Linked DNA regions of Xenopus tropicalis. The protein of the gene in region 3 interacts with the protein of the main gene of each other region in a pairwise test. Links are inferred from orthologs where the notes say so. Each region holds a gene or a part of one and is shown on either strand. Other genes may lie near its edges. The genes, in order: rap2a, rap2b and rundc3a.

Region 1 (3,796 bases), on a different chromosome or scaffold from region 3:
CTGTTGCTTAAAAAGTCTGCAGGGATTTACGGAATAAAGGAATGACATACAAGTATATATATAAATGGAGAGTTAATATTTCTACGTTTAATGCAATATGTTCTCATATTATACATTGCATAGAGCAGTGGTCCCCAACCAGTGGCCCATGAGTAACATGTTGCTCACCAACCCCTTGGATGTTGCTCCCCGTGGCCTCAACGCAGGTGCTCGTTTCTGAATTTCTGGTAAGGAGGCAAGTTTTGGTTGCATAAAAACCAAGTATAATGCCAAACAGAGCTTTCTGTAGGCTGCCAGTCCACATAGGGGCTATTAAGTAGCCAATTATAGCTCTTTATTGGCACCCCCAGGAACTTTTTTAATGCTTGTGTTGCTCCCCAAAACTTTTTCCATTTAAATGCGGCTCACAAATATAAAAGGTTGCGGATCCCTGGCATAGAGAGACTCATAGGACGGGCAGCGGATCTTTATTTCAAACCCATTTTCAGCACTGGTCTCTTTCTATTGGCTTGTGAGTATGACGCCAAGGTCATACTCCACTCTGATTGGCTGCCGCTGAGGACCGAGCGATGGCTTTTTTTCCTCACAGCATCCTGATAAAAGAAGGCGGATTTGGTGATGCCAGTCCCGTTCTCCTCCCTGTGTTCCTGAGGACCGGTAGTTGCTAAGGCGACAGGTGAAGGAGCCAATGGTAGAGAGGCGAGGGCCATGACGAGCAAAGTGGGCGTAGAGCACTGGCAGAGCGGGGAGTGGGTAGTTAGAGGCCGACGCGAGTCACTGGGGGGCGAATGAGCGAATAACAGCCGCTCCGGGAGAGGGGAGCTCCGGGCACCGGGCCCACGTAGCCCGGCCTTTTTCCCATGTCTCGTAAAGCCGCTGCAGAGGAGGGGCGGCGAGGACGGAGGGGGAGGCGGAGAAGCGGTGCGCTGTGAGGGAGCGGAGGGGGACGATGCGTGAGTATAAGGTGGTGGTCCTGGGAAGCGGCGGGGTCGGCAAGTCGGCCTTGACCGTGCAATTTGTCACAGGGACATTCATCGAGAAGTACGACCCGACCATTGAGGATTTCTACCGCAAGGAGATAGAGGTAGACTCGTCCCCCTCCGTGCTGGAGATCCTGGACACGGCCGGTACCGAGCAGTTCGCCTCTATGCGGGACTTGTACATCAAGAACGGGCAGGGCTTCATCCTAGTGTACAGCATGGTGAACCAGCAGAGCTTCCAGGATATCAAGCCCATGAGGGACCAGATCATCCGCGTCAAAAGGCAAGCGGGGGGGGGGGGGGGAGTAGGGTTGGACGCGGCCCTCCAGCTGTTCAACTACAACTCTCACATTCCGCTGCCAGCTTGGCATTGCCGTACAGCACAGGTGTGGGGCCGCGGCTCTGCATCATTTACTGCACAGAACAAAGGGGGCCCTTAGTCTCTAGTTACTTTTGTTCAACCTGCCAGTAAACTGCCCCCCTGTCTCCAGCCAAGCCGCCTCTCATTGGCTCCTGTGCAGCTCATTGTCCTGTTGCCCTGTTAGTGCCCATTGGGGCAGGCTGGGGTAGAGCCTTCTGCTGTGGCTGCTCCCCTATTGCATCCTTCATTTATTTCTTTTCTTTGTTTGTCTGCCCAGTCCAGCTTTTGTACATGTAATGCTTTATATTATAGATTGGAAACAGAATATTGGTCCCTGCAGTATGACTGACATAGATATTTAATATGTCTGGGTCTTTCCCCATAGTCTCTCTGTTACAGCAGGGAACAATGAGGCTCCTCAGAGGAATCTCAGACACTGGCAGAATTGCAGAGCTTTTTGCTTGATGGCTTTGCTGCACAGTGGAGCCTCAGGGTATTCATATATATATATATATATAAACACAACACATGCTGCTCCCTACTGTCATTCTACTGAGTCATCATGTATCATATATGAACTTGCCTTTAAATAAACATGCACATATGCTCTACTGACCTTATGTAAAGGGATTGAAAGGCACTGAAACCCTCAGCCAAAAGCATCTTAATTACATATGAACATAACAAGCATCTGTGAATATCCTGCCATTATCATCTAAGTCTGTGGCTGTACACAAATTGTCTACATCTGGATAGGCTTTCTATTTAATGGCATGATTTAGTGAAAACCTCTGTGCATGTATACACAAGAGAAGTGTATAATATATATATATATATATATATATATATATATATATATATATATATATATATAGTACAAGTTGTTTTAGACACAAATTGCTACACTAGTAGCACCAGAAAAAACAATGCAAAAATGTGTGAAATACCATCAGTCATGGTTAATACACTTTATATTGGCGATTAAATGAGTTAGAAGTAAATATATGACATTTAAGTTATAAAATATATATATATATATATATATATATATATATATATGCTTGAAACGATCATGCTGTGATATAAAGCAGTCATGCTGTGACCATTAAAGACTATAGATAGGGCGGGTAGACTTGATCTATCCTACCTGTTGTGGGATACCAGCAGATCCAATTCAACAGTGCAGCTTTGGTCCACAAGTTGTGCCTCATTGAATTCATTTATATCTAAGTAGTTGTTAGAAACAGTTTTTCATGAGTATCCAAAGGGCTACAGTGGTACATGGGTTTTTTCATGTTGGCTTTGAGCTTATGGGTATTGGTGAGCTATTTTCCTTCTGTATATTAATGCCATGGGTTGGTGCATGACCATTAACACTAGCTTGCCTACTTGGGCACTTCGGGATTCAGTTTTGATGAAAAAATCAAAAGGCAAAAATCAAAACTTCAGTAGGGTAAAAACTGTAGTGATAGTTGTTTGGCCCACAGGTACAAGTGTTATGATTCCCACTGTAAGCTGAAAAGCAAGCAACAAAATGGTTAGGATAGCCATTGCTCTTAGACCTGTAGCTCATCGGGTTCATTTCATTCTTATACAGTCTGGTTTTGATTCACTAATTTCAATTTTACACAGTGTGTCATCCTCCATTCTCAAACCTGACTACCCATACAATAAAGTAGCTCTTTCTTTGTTGATAGTGGAACTGTGCTTCTTTTCCCTGAATGAATTCCTAGTTATGAAACAGCTTTGTGTCAGCCTCCGATAGTTTGGTGTCTACTAGAATTGTTTAATCCCTTTTCAGTTTAATATCTCCCCAAATGTCTATTATTTAAAGTATAATTATTATAATACTTCCCATAATATGTAGCTATAAAGAACACCAGTGCATTTTCTCTATGTGATGAGGAATGCTGGCCTGAAGAAAAAAAAAATCCATTACTCCAAAGTCCAGTGGTGCGAAGTCACACGGGGCAATTAGTGGCTGCAACTTTTTAAAAAGTTGCAGTGACTAATTGCCCTGCTGCAAATGACACGCAATTAGTCACATCTATAGCAGTTCAATTTCTGCAATTAGTCGCCACTACTGAGTTTTTTTTTAAATTGCGGTGACTAATTGCCCCCTGTGTCTTCACCATGAATTGTGATTATAAACTTGTGTGCGGCGGCTCAACCATAATAATCCATTACTCGCAACACTTTTGTCCAGACATTGCTTCCAGTGACTAGTTGGAACTCTACTGTAGTGTGTGTTCCAACTGAGGATATCTCATTCTCATTTTAAATATGACTATGAAGATTTTAATTCATCCAGGTCATGGTATATCTAGTATAAGTAATCTAGAGCAACTGGACTTGCTAAGACGTTTCACTACTCATCCTAGCAGCGTCTTCAGTTCAACTGACAGGTATGGGAAGTCCTCAGCATATGGAGATGGAGTTTCTGGTTACTTTTGAC
Region 2 (3,831 bases), on a different chromosome or scaffold from region 3:
AGTACCATGCGCACTGAATGGGAATAATACACGTTAAAGGATTTAAATTACCCTTACTTTTAACTGCCAAATAAAAAGAAGACACACCGTATGATGTCACAAAGGATTTTGTATTGAACTCAGTTTAAAACAGAAGAGACGGGCTTTTTCAGAGCCTGTCCAGAAAATAAAATAACACATGTTAACGGTCTTGGTACATCACAATTTGTCATCTCTGGCTGATTTGCAATGTTAGCCACTGCTGGTATAGTAAGAACAGAAAGAGGGGCGTAACACGTACTAAAACAAATGCTTAAAGACTCTTCCTGTGCCACTCTACATTCTTGCTGGCATGGTCTGCTGGACACAGAAAAGGTTAATCGCCATCCCCTCCAAAAAATGTGCAAGACATGGAAATTACAATAACAGGCTCAGAAATAGGTTCCAGGGACAATAGATTCCTTTGTCTACGCTTGTTCAGTGTGATTACTGAGAGGAAACTGTTAAGTAGTTTTCAGAATAGAAGATAATGAGATTTTGTTGAGGATTTTCACAGGTTGGCACCGGCTGGAACAGCTGAATTTTGAAGGCACTCTAAGGACACAGGGCACTATTGACCCTGGCTCACAATTAAGTCAATTCACTGTATATTAAATAGCTAAGCATCAAAAATCAGTTATTGCCAGCACACATAAAACATAAACATCTGTAACACTTTCACAGCTGATAAGAAAAAATACTAATAATCTTCCCAGATCCCCATATGATACAGCAGGTAAACAAAATAGATTTCATACACACACACACACAAACACACATACCAGCTAGGAGGCCACATTGGGCGCCCAAGCCATGTTGGCATCTTTTATCTCATTTTAGATGTGCAATACTTCTGAATGTATACTCTGTAACAATCATCCAACTTTGCATAGATACCTAAAATGAAAGTCAGCAGGTGAACTGCAAGTCTGGGAGTGGGGAGAGACTCCATTCCATTTGGATATTTCTGTGTGCCTTTCAGAACTTAGATAAGGCTTGATTTAAGGAGTAGGTCCCTTCATGCACTCACCCATTTCCAGGCCTTTTATTAGTGGAGGTGGGGCCCAAGATCAACCACTCAATAGGAGGCCCCATCCCCTGTAGTAAGCAGGGCTTACCAACTTGTGGCCATGCAGCTGTTTCTCAACAACAACCCCTAGCAACCCCAGGCAGCCTTTAATGTTCAGAGGATGCTGGGCGTTGCAGTTTGGAAGTAGCTGAAAGGCCAGAAGTTGGATAGTTCTGGTGTTTCTATTTACCCCTCTATACCACAGTTATACTCCATTCCTCAGGTGATCCTTCTCCATGCTGCTACAGGTGCTGCATGAACAGTCTAAGAGGTACAATTATGGGCCTTCTCCTCCCAATTCCTCCCAAACCCTTGTACTCAGCAGGGCCCCCAATAGGCAGCCCTCCTAACTGCACCCCAAAGGGTAGGTCTGTCCATGTCTGTCTGCAAACAGGGCATTGGTACGTGCTGAGGCATCTCCAATGTATCTCCTTTTCGTGTTGGCCAAAGCTTCAGTGTTTTGCCCGCAGAGCCCTGGGCACATGGAATAGACAAGACCCATTAGAGCCCCCCACATACTGTATGCTAGCCACTTGATGAGCAGATGACATCCCCAGGACAAACACGCCCCTGTGCTGCCAGGCAGTGGGAGTCAATGTAGCACCGGGGCTCAGAGAATGACACAGGAGCAGCAGCGATCATCCCCGTTGGGCTGGGACGCGTAGTTCATCTGCCTGACGATCTCGGCAAACAGTTCATCCACGGAGCCTTTATGTTTGGCTGAAGTTTCCATGAAGGGGCAGTTCCATTCATCCGCCAGGGCTTTCCCTTCCCCGTAGGACACTTCCCTCTCGCCTTCCAGATCCACTTTGTTCCCGACTAGAATCATGGGCACTTTCTCGTACCGTTTCACCCGGATGATCTGGTCCCTCATGGGCTTGATGTCCTGGAAGCTCTGCTGGTTCACCAGGCTGTAGACCAGGATAAAGCCCTGGCCGTTCTTAATGTACAAGTCTCTCATGGAAGCGAACTGTTCGGTGCCTGCAGTGTCCAGGATCTCCAGCACAGAGGGCGACGAATCCACTTCGATCTCCTTCCGGTAAAAGTCCTCTATGGTGGGGTCGTATTTCTCTATGAACGATCCGGTGACAAACTGCACGGTCAGAGCCGACTTCCCCACCCCGCCCGATCCAAGGACAACTACTTTGTATTCCCGCATGGCTCTCGCCTCCTGCTGCCGCCCGCCTGTAGCTCCGCTGCTGGGAGAAGCGCGGCTTTCACTTCATCGGTTCCCCTGCATATAAAGCTCCGGGGCGGGGGGAGCCACCGGGAGTCCCCGGGTGTATGTGTTGCTTCTAGTAAGGGACCGGCCCTGCAGCTCCCTCTCTCAGGCTGCGCTCCTCTCCATTCCCTTCCCTGGCAGCCCACACTGTACTTATCTTGAATTACACTTGCATTTTTTGTAACTGCCTCTTGCCCATTGGCTGATGCGTCTCTTGGCTCTGATTGGTCGATAATAGCGCCCCTTTGGTTGGTTCGGCTGTATAGCCGCAGAGAAAGTATTTTCATTAGTCAGGCGTGACTCATTCACTAAGGCAGGGATCTCCGAAACTGGCTGTGTAGGTCTTGTGCAACTGCTACTCCCAGCGGCCGGCATCCCTTGGCAACCTAGTGGGACTTGGTAGATCAGTCCTTTTTCTGCGATTAATAGTTTCCAAAAATATTTTGGCAACTCAGTATATCTGCGCTCACAGGGGAAAATATAGCCGTGTACTTGTATGCTATACTATGTAGGTGTGTACTAAGCATGCTGGGAGCTGTAGGATAGCGATAGGAGGGTTGTGGGTTGGCCATCCATGAGTATTATTGCTTATCTCTAACAACCTGGTATTGGCCCTGGTATTTCTAGTACAGAGAAGCCCAAACAGCCACTACAAGGCCAAGATAAAGCTCCAGTCTGTGGCAGCTCACAAAAGCCTTTCTGGTATTCCCAGGCCTGCAGTGGTACTATGGCTGATGTTTAATGTTATAATAACTGCTTATACTAACTTTATAACAACCAGTCATCAGAATCAACTCACATTTCGCTTTAATTTGCAACAGGTTAGGCCAGAGGAACACTGGGTGTTTTCTGCCGACACAAAAGAGGAAAAAAAGTGAAGGACTCGAGTTAAATGAGAAGTTGTAACATGTGACCTTACATATTTTGTCCAAAATGTGGTACAAACACCTCAGATTTTACTAAATTGTATATATAGGGATTCACACAGGCTGAATTTGAGTGCTGGCAATGTTATTCTCTTTTGTGTGTGCAAATGATGGCTTCTTATATTTTGTAGTAGCTGGTCAACTCCCGAGCATAGGTGATTCCAAACGCAGTCACAAATAGCAGCTGGTTAACGCTATAGGGTGGGTTAGACCGAACACGGACGATTTCTCTTTGTGTCGTACACTGGATATTTTATCCTTTGCTGCCAACAAATACTGCTGTGCAACTGCCATCACTCCTAATATGATTGAATGTAAAGTGTGGGCAAAATGGTCCATGTGCCAGGCTGTGGTATGATCCAGCTGAAGTATCTGTTTTATGCATTCAGTTGGCCATTCAATTACATTTAAAAGGTACTTCCATCTAAAGCCACTCCTTGCACTTGGTTGGCTCGACATTGCTGTGGCCTCCTCTTGTGAACTGCATGCTTGACCAATGGGAACGCACAACAGCCTGTGTCAGCTGAGGCAGTGAATTTGCACTTTACAAAGTTAAGTTCAGATGTGACTGATGCAGAGCACCACAGATGACATCC
Region 3 (3,600 bases):
TCCTTCTATTGCTCCATATACCCCCTCCCTATAACTCCTTCTATTGCTCCATATATCCTCTCCCTATAATTCCTGCTATTGCTCCATATAACCCTCCCTATAACTCCTCCTATTACTCCATATAACCCTCTCTATAACTCTTCATATTGCTCCATATACCCCCTCCCTATAACTCCTTCTATTGCTCCATATATCCTCTCCCTATAATTCCTGCTATTGCTCCATATAACCCTCCCTATAACTCCTCCTATTACTCCATATAACCCTCTCTATAACTCTTCATATTGCTCCATATACCCCCTCCCTATAACTCCTTCTATTGCTCCATATAACCCTCCCTATAACTCCTCCTATTACTCCATATAACCCTCTCTATAACTCTTCATATTGCTCCATATACCCCCTCCCTATAACTCCTCCTATTGTTCCATATAACCCTCCCTATAACTCCTCCTATTGTTCCATATAACCCTCCCTATAACTCCTTCTATTGCTCCATATAACCCTCCCTATAACTCCTCCTATTGTTCCATATAACCCTCCCTATAACTCCTTCTATTGCTCCATATAACCCTCCCTATAACTCCTCCTATTGCTCCATATAACCCTCCCTATAACTCCTCCTATTGCTCCATATACCCCCTCCCTATAACTCCTTCTATTGCTCCATATATCCTCTCCCTATAATTCCTGCTATTGCTCCATATAACCCTGCCTATAACTCCTCCGATTGCTCCATATAACCCTCCCTATAACTGCTTCTATTGCTCCATATAACCCCTCCCTATAACTCCTCCTATTGCTCCATATTACCCTCCTTATAACTCCTCCTAAAGGACAACTGTATTAATTTCCTATTTTTTGCAAACGTACAGGGGAGGAGAGATAATGAAGCAGTAAAATAAGGAGAAGCTCCATATATGTTGATAGTATAAAGGCAGCTGAATAGGATATAAAGCCTCAGGGGTCCCCTTGACTTCACATCCTCTTTCCCTCCCTCCCTATCCGGAGCCGCTTCTCTCTCACTCCTCTCCCCCCGCCCCCCCAGCCGCTCGTTCCGGCCCTGTGACGTCACTTCTCCAGCTTCAGCACCAAGGACAGCAGCCTCTCCCCTGCGCTCCATCCTTCGGCCGCTCTATTCTCCCTGGGCCGCTCTCCTCACAAGAGGGGGACAGGCAGCCTGGAGGCCAGCGAGAGGAGGCGGGGAGGGGACCTGGGTGGAAGGGGAAAGCTGCAGCCCTGCTGGTGGTGGCGGAGGAGGAGTGGAGGGATCATTTGGGGAGGGGGGCCAGAATCCTGTGCTGTGGATGGAACCGAGCTTTATCCAGTCGGCCATGGCTCTGGGACTGCCATCTAAGAAGGCCTCCTCCAGGAACATTGCTGTGGAGAGAAAGAACCTACTGACTGTGTGCAGGTGGGACGGGGGTGTCTTGGCTTTACAAGGCATTGAGGGAATAATGGGGGCAACGAAAATCTGAAGGGGGTGAGAAGATATGGTTAAAAGATATGGTTTGTATGTAACATTGCAGGGTGGGTAGAGGAATAAATATGAGTTAAATGATTTAAAATAATTCAGCTCTGGCACCTATAGGGTCAATTTTATGTCAGGGCAGAAATCCATTTATTATGGGCTCCAATTCATTAGTATGGCCCTAACCTGAAAGGGGCCTTGGTGTCAGCAAAGCCTGCCTGCTATTGTGTCCAGTAATTGTATCCTAATCTTTATTATTTGGGCCCTTAACCCTTTATAGTGGCCAGGGCCCCCCCTTGTCTGACTCCAGTGGTTTGGCTATTGTTTGGCTCTCGGGAGACAGGGACAGACATGGGCAGAAGACAGCGGGTCAGGTGACCTAAGATAGCCATGCTGGTTAGGTGCCTTTGGGATTTCCTGTGAGTCAAACACATATACAGTGTCACCTCAGTACAGAACATGAACAGAAAGTAACAGAAACACAGCATTTGCATGTATTTGTTATAAAAGAGTTCCAATCAGCATCCTTCTGGCTGCTGTTGAACTACAACTCCCATCACCCCCTTGCTAGCCATCTTACACAATGCATGTGCAGTACATATAACATGCAAGGACAAATGTAACCTTTATCATGGATAGCCAACTAGTGACTTTCCAGTCATTGAACAAACTTTGGCATCCCACCTACAGTTATCTTTCACAGCCCAGCCCATGTACAATATATGCACATGTATATAAAACATGGTATTTTAGAGATGTTCATTGAGTATTTCTCTAGACTACAACTACAGTATCTACAGTATCTGCTGTCAGAGAGAACCAGAAATGTAGTTTTGCAACAGCTGGAGGTATACAGGTTGGACACCCCTGGTTATTCTTTCCTAAGCTGGAAAGGACTACAGAAAATGGCCTACTGATGAAAACAATTAGAACAGCGAAAAGGATGGGAATACATGCTTGGGTCATACATGTTTTAGCACATAATGGAAGGGTGTCTTTATGGCTTATTTTATGTCCACGCAGTCATCAAGAGAAGCAGAGAGCAGCACAAGCAACACAATGAATCATATCCCGTGACTTCACTTTCCCATTTCTCTTTTATCATCCATCTCCCTTAGCTAGAGCCAAGCTGTGCTGTTCTATTTCTGTGACCTAGCCTACATTCCTTGCCATCTCCTTTCCTGTACTGCCCAATGCTTTCTCAGACCTTCACTGCTCTTTCCTCAGCTTCTTGCTGACATTTTCATTTACCTTTTTACACTCCATTGTTCTGTCCTGTCTCATCTCCTGCTCCCATATATTCTTTTGTACCCCTCTCAGTGCTTACTCTCTCTTTTGTCCCCTTCTGCCTCCCCAGGTTCTCTGTGAAGACCCTGCTGGAGAAATACACAGCGGAGCCCATTGATGATTCGTCGGAGGAGTTTGTGAACTTTGCTGCTATTTTGGAGCACATCCTAAGCCATCGCTTCAAAGGTCATACAAAAAATATTAGTGGTCAATACCCCTATGGCAACCAAATGTCCAGGCCAAGCTATATAATTGAAACTTGCCCATTCCTCCCAATCTGACCGGTTTCTTTCTTTCTTTCTTGCTCCAGGTCATGTCAGCTGGTTTAGCACAGATGGCCAGAGAGGATTCTGGGATTATATTCGCATTGCCTGCAGCAAAGTCACAAACAACTGCATTAGCAGCATTGAAAATATGGAGAACATTAGCAGTGCCAGGGCAAAGGTCAGCTTTGGTGGGACAGCCTTGGGATGAGGCTTCAGGCAATTTTACTGGGTCACTTAGCATAGGATATATAGGATATTGAGGGGTTAAAGGGGAACTCCATCAAAACACAATTTGAGCTTTTTGAAGTAAACATAATTTCAGCAAATTTGCAGCATACATCAATTAAAAAATATGCAGCCTTTTCATTATTTTTAAAGTAAAAATATGGTTTGGAACAGTTCCCTAAGCTGGGCCCCCTGTTCCCCTGCTGGTCTGGCTGACTGCTATGAGACTCAAATAAAATGTAACAGTTGTCGACCTTCCTCCCAGCCTGCATCCTCCAAATCCCACAATCCCCTGCACACGTGATGTCAATAAGGAAAGGAACATCACAGTGCAATGCATTGTGGGTTATG

Evidence for each region.
Region 1: the proteins of rundc3a (region 3) and rap2a interact in binary tests that used the Homo sapiens proteins (3 or more experiments, as listed by UniProt). The link is inferred for Xenopus tropicalis from reciprocal best matches to the Homo sapiens genes RUNDC3A and RAP2A.
Region 2: the proteins of rundc3a (region 3) and rap2b interact in binary tests that used the Homo sapiens proteins (3 or more experiments, as listed by UniProt). The two-hybrid records come from large-scale screens. The link is inferred for Xenopus tropicalis from reciprocal best matches to the Homo sapiens genes RUNDC3A and RAP2B.

The regions. Positions count from the first base shown.
Region 1 is NC_030678.2:121,611,910-121,615,705, reverse strand, and holds the start of rap2a (ras-related protein Rap-2a), read left to right. Parts: upstream 1-842; 5' UTR 843-949; coding exon 950-1,263; intron 1,264-3,796. UniProt on the Homo sapiens protein: Small GTP-binding protein which cycles between a GDP-bound inactive and a GTP-bound active form. In its active form interacts with and regulates several effectors including MAP4K4, MINK1 and TNIK.
Region 2 is NC_030681.2:117,180,464-117,184,294, forward strand, and holds rap2b (ras-related protein Rap-2b), read right to left. Parts: upstream 2,358-3,831; 5' UTR 2,247-2,357; coding exon 1,698-2,246; 3' UTR 92-1,697; downstream 1-91. UniProt on the Homo sapiens protein: Small GTP-binding protein which cycles between a GDP-bound inactive and a GTP-bound active form. Involved in EGFR and CHRM3 signaling pathways through stimulation of PLCE1.
Region 3 is NC_030686.2:18,580,364-18,583,963, forward strand, and holds the start of rundc3a (RUN domain-containing protein 3A), read left to right. Parts: upstream 1-1,061; 5' UTR 1,062-1,307; coding exon 1,308-1,414; intron 1,415-2,828; coding exon 2,829-2,944; intron 2,945-3,068; coding exon 3,069-3,202; intron 3,203-3,600. UniProt on the Homo sapiens protein: May act as an effector of RAP2A in neuronal cells.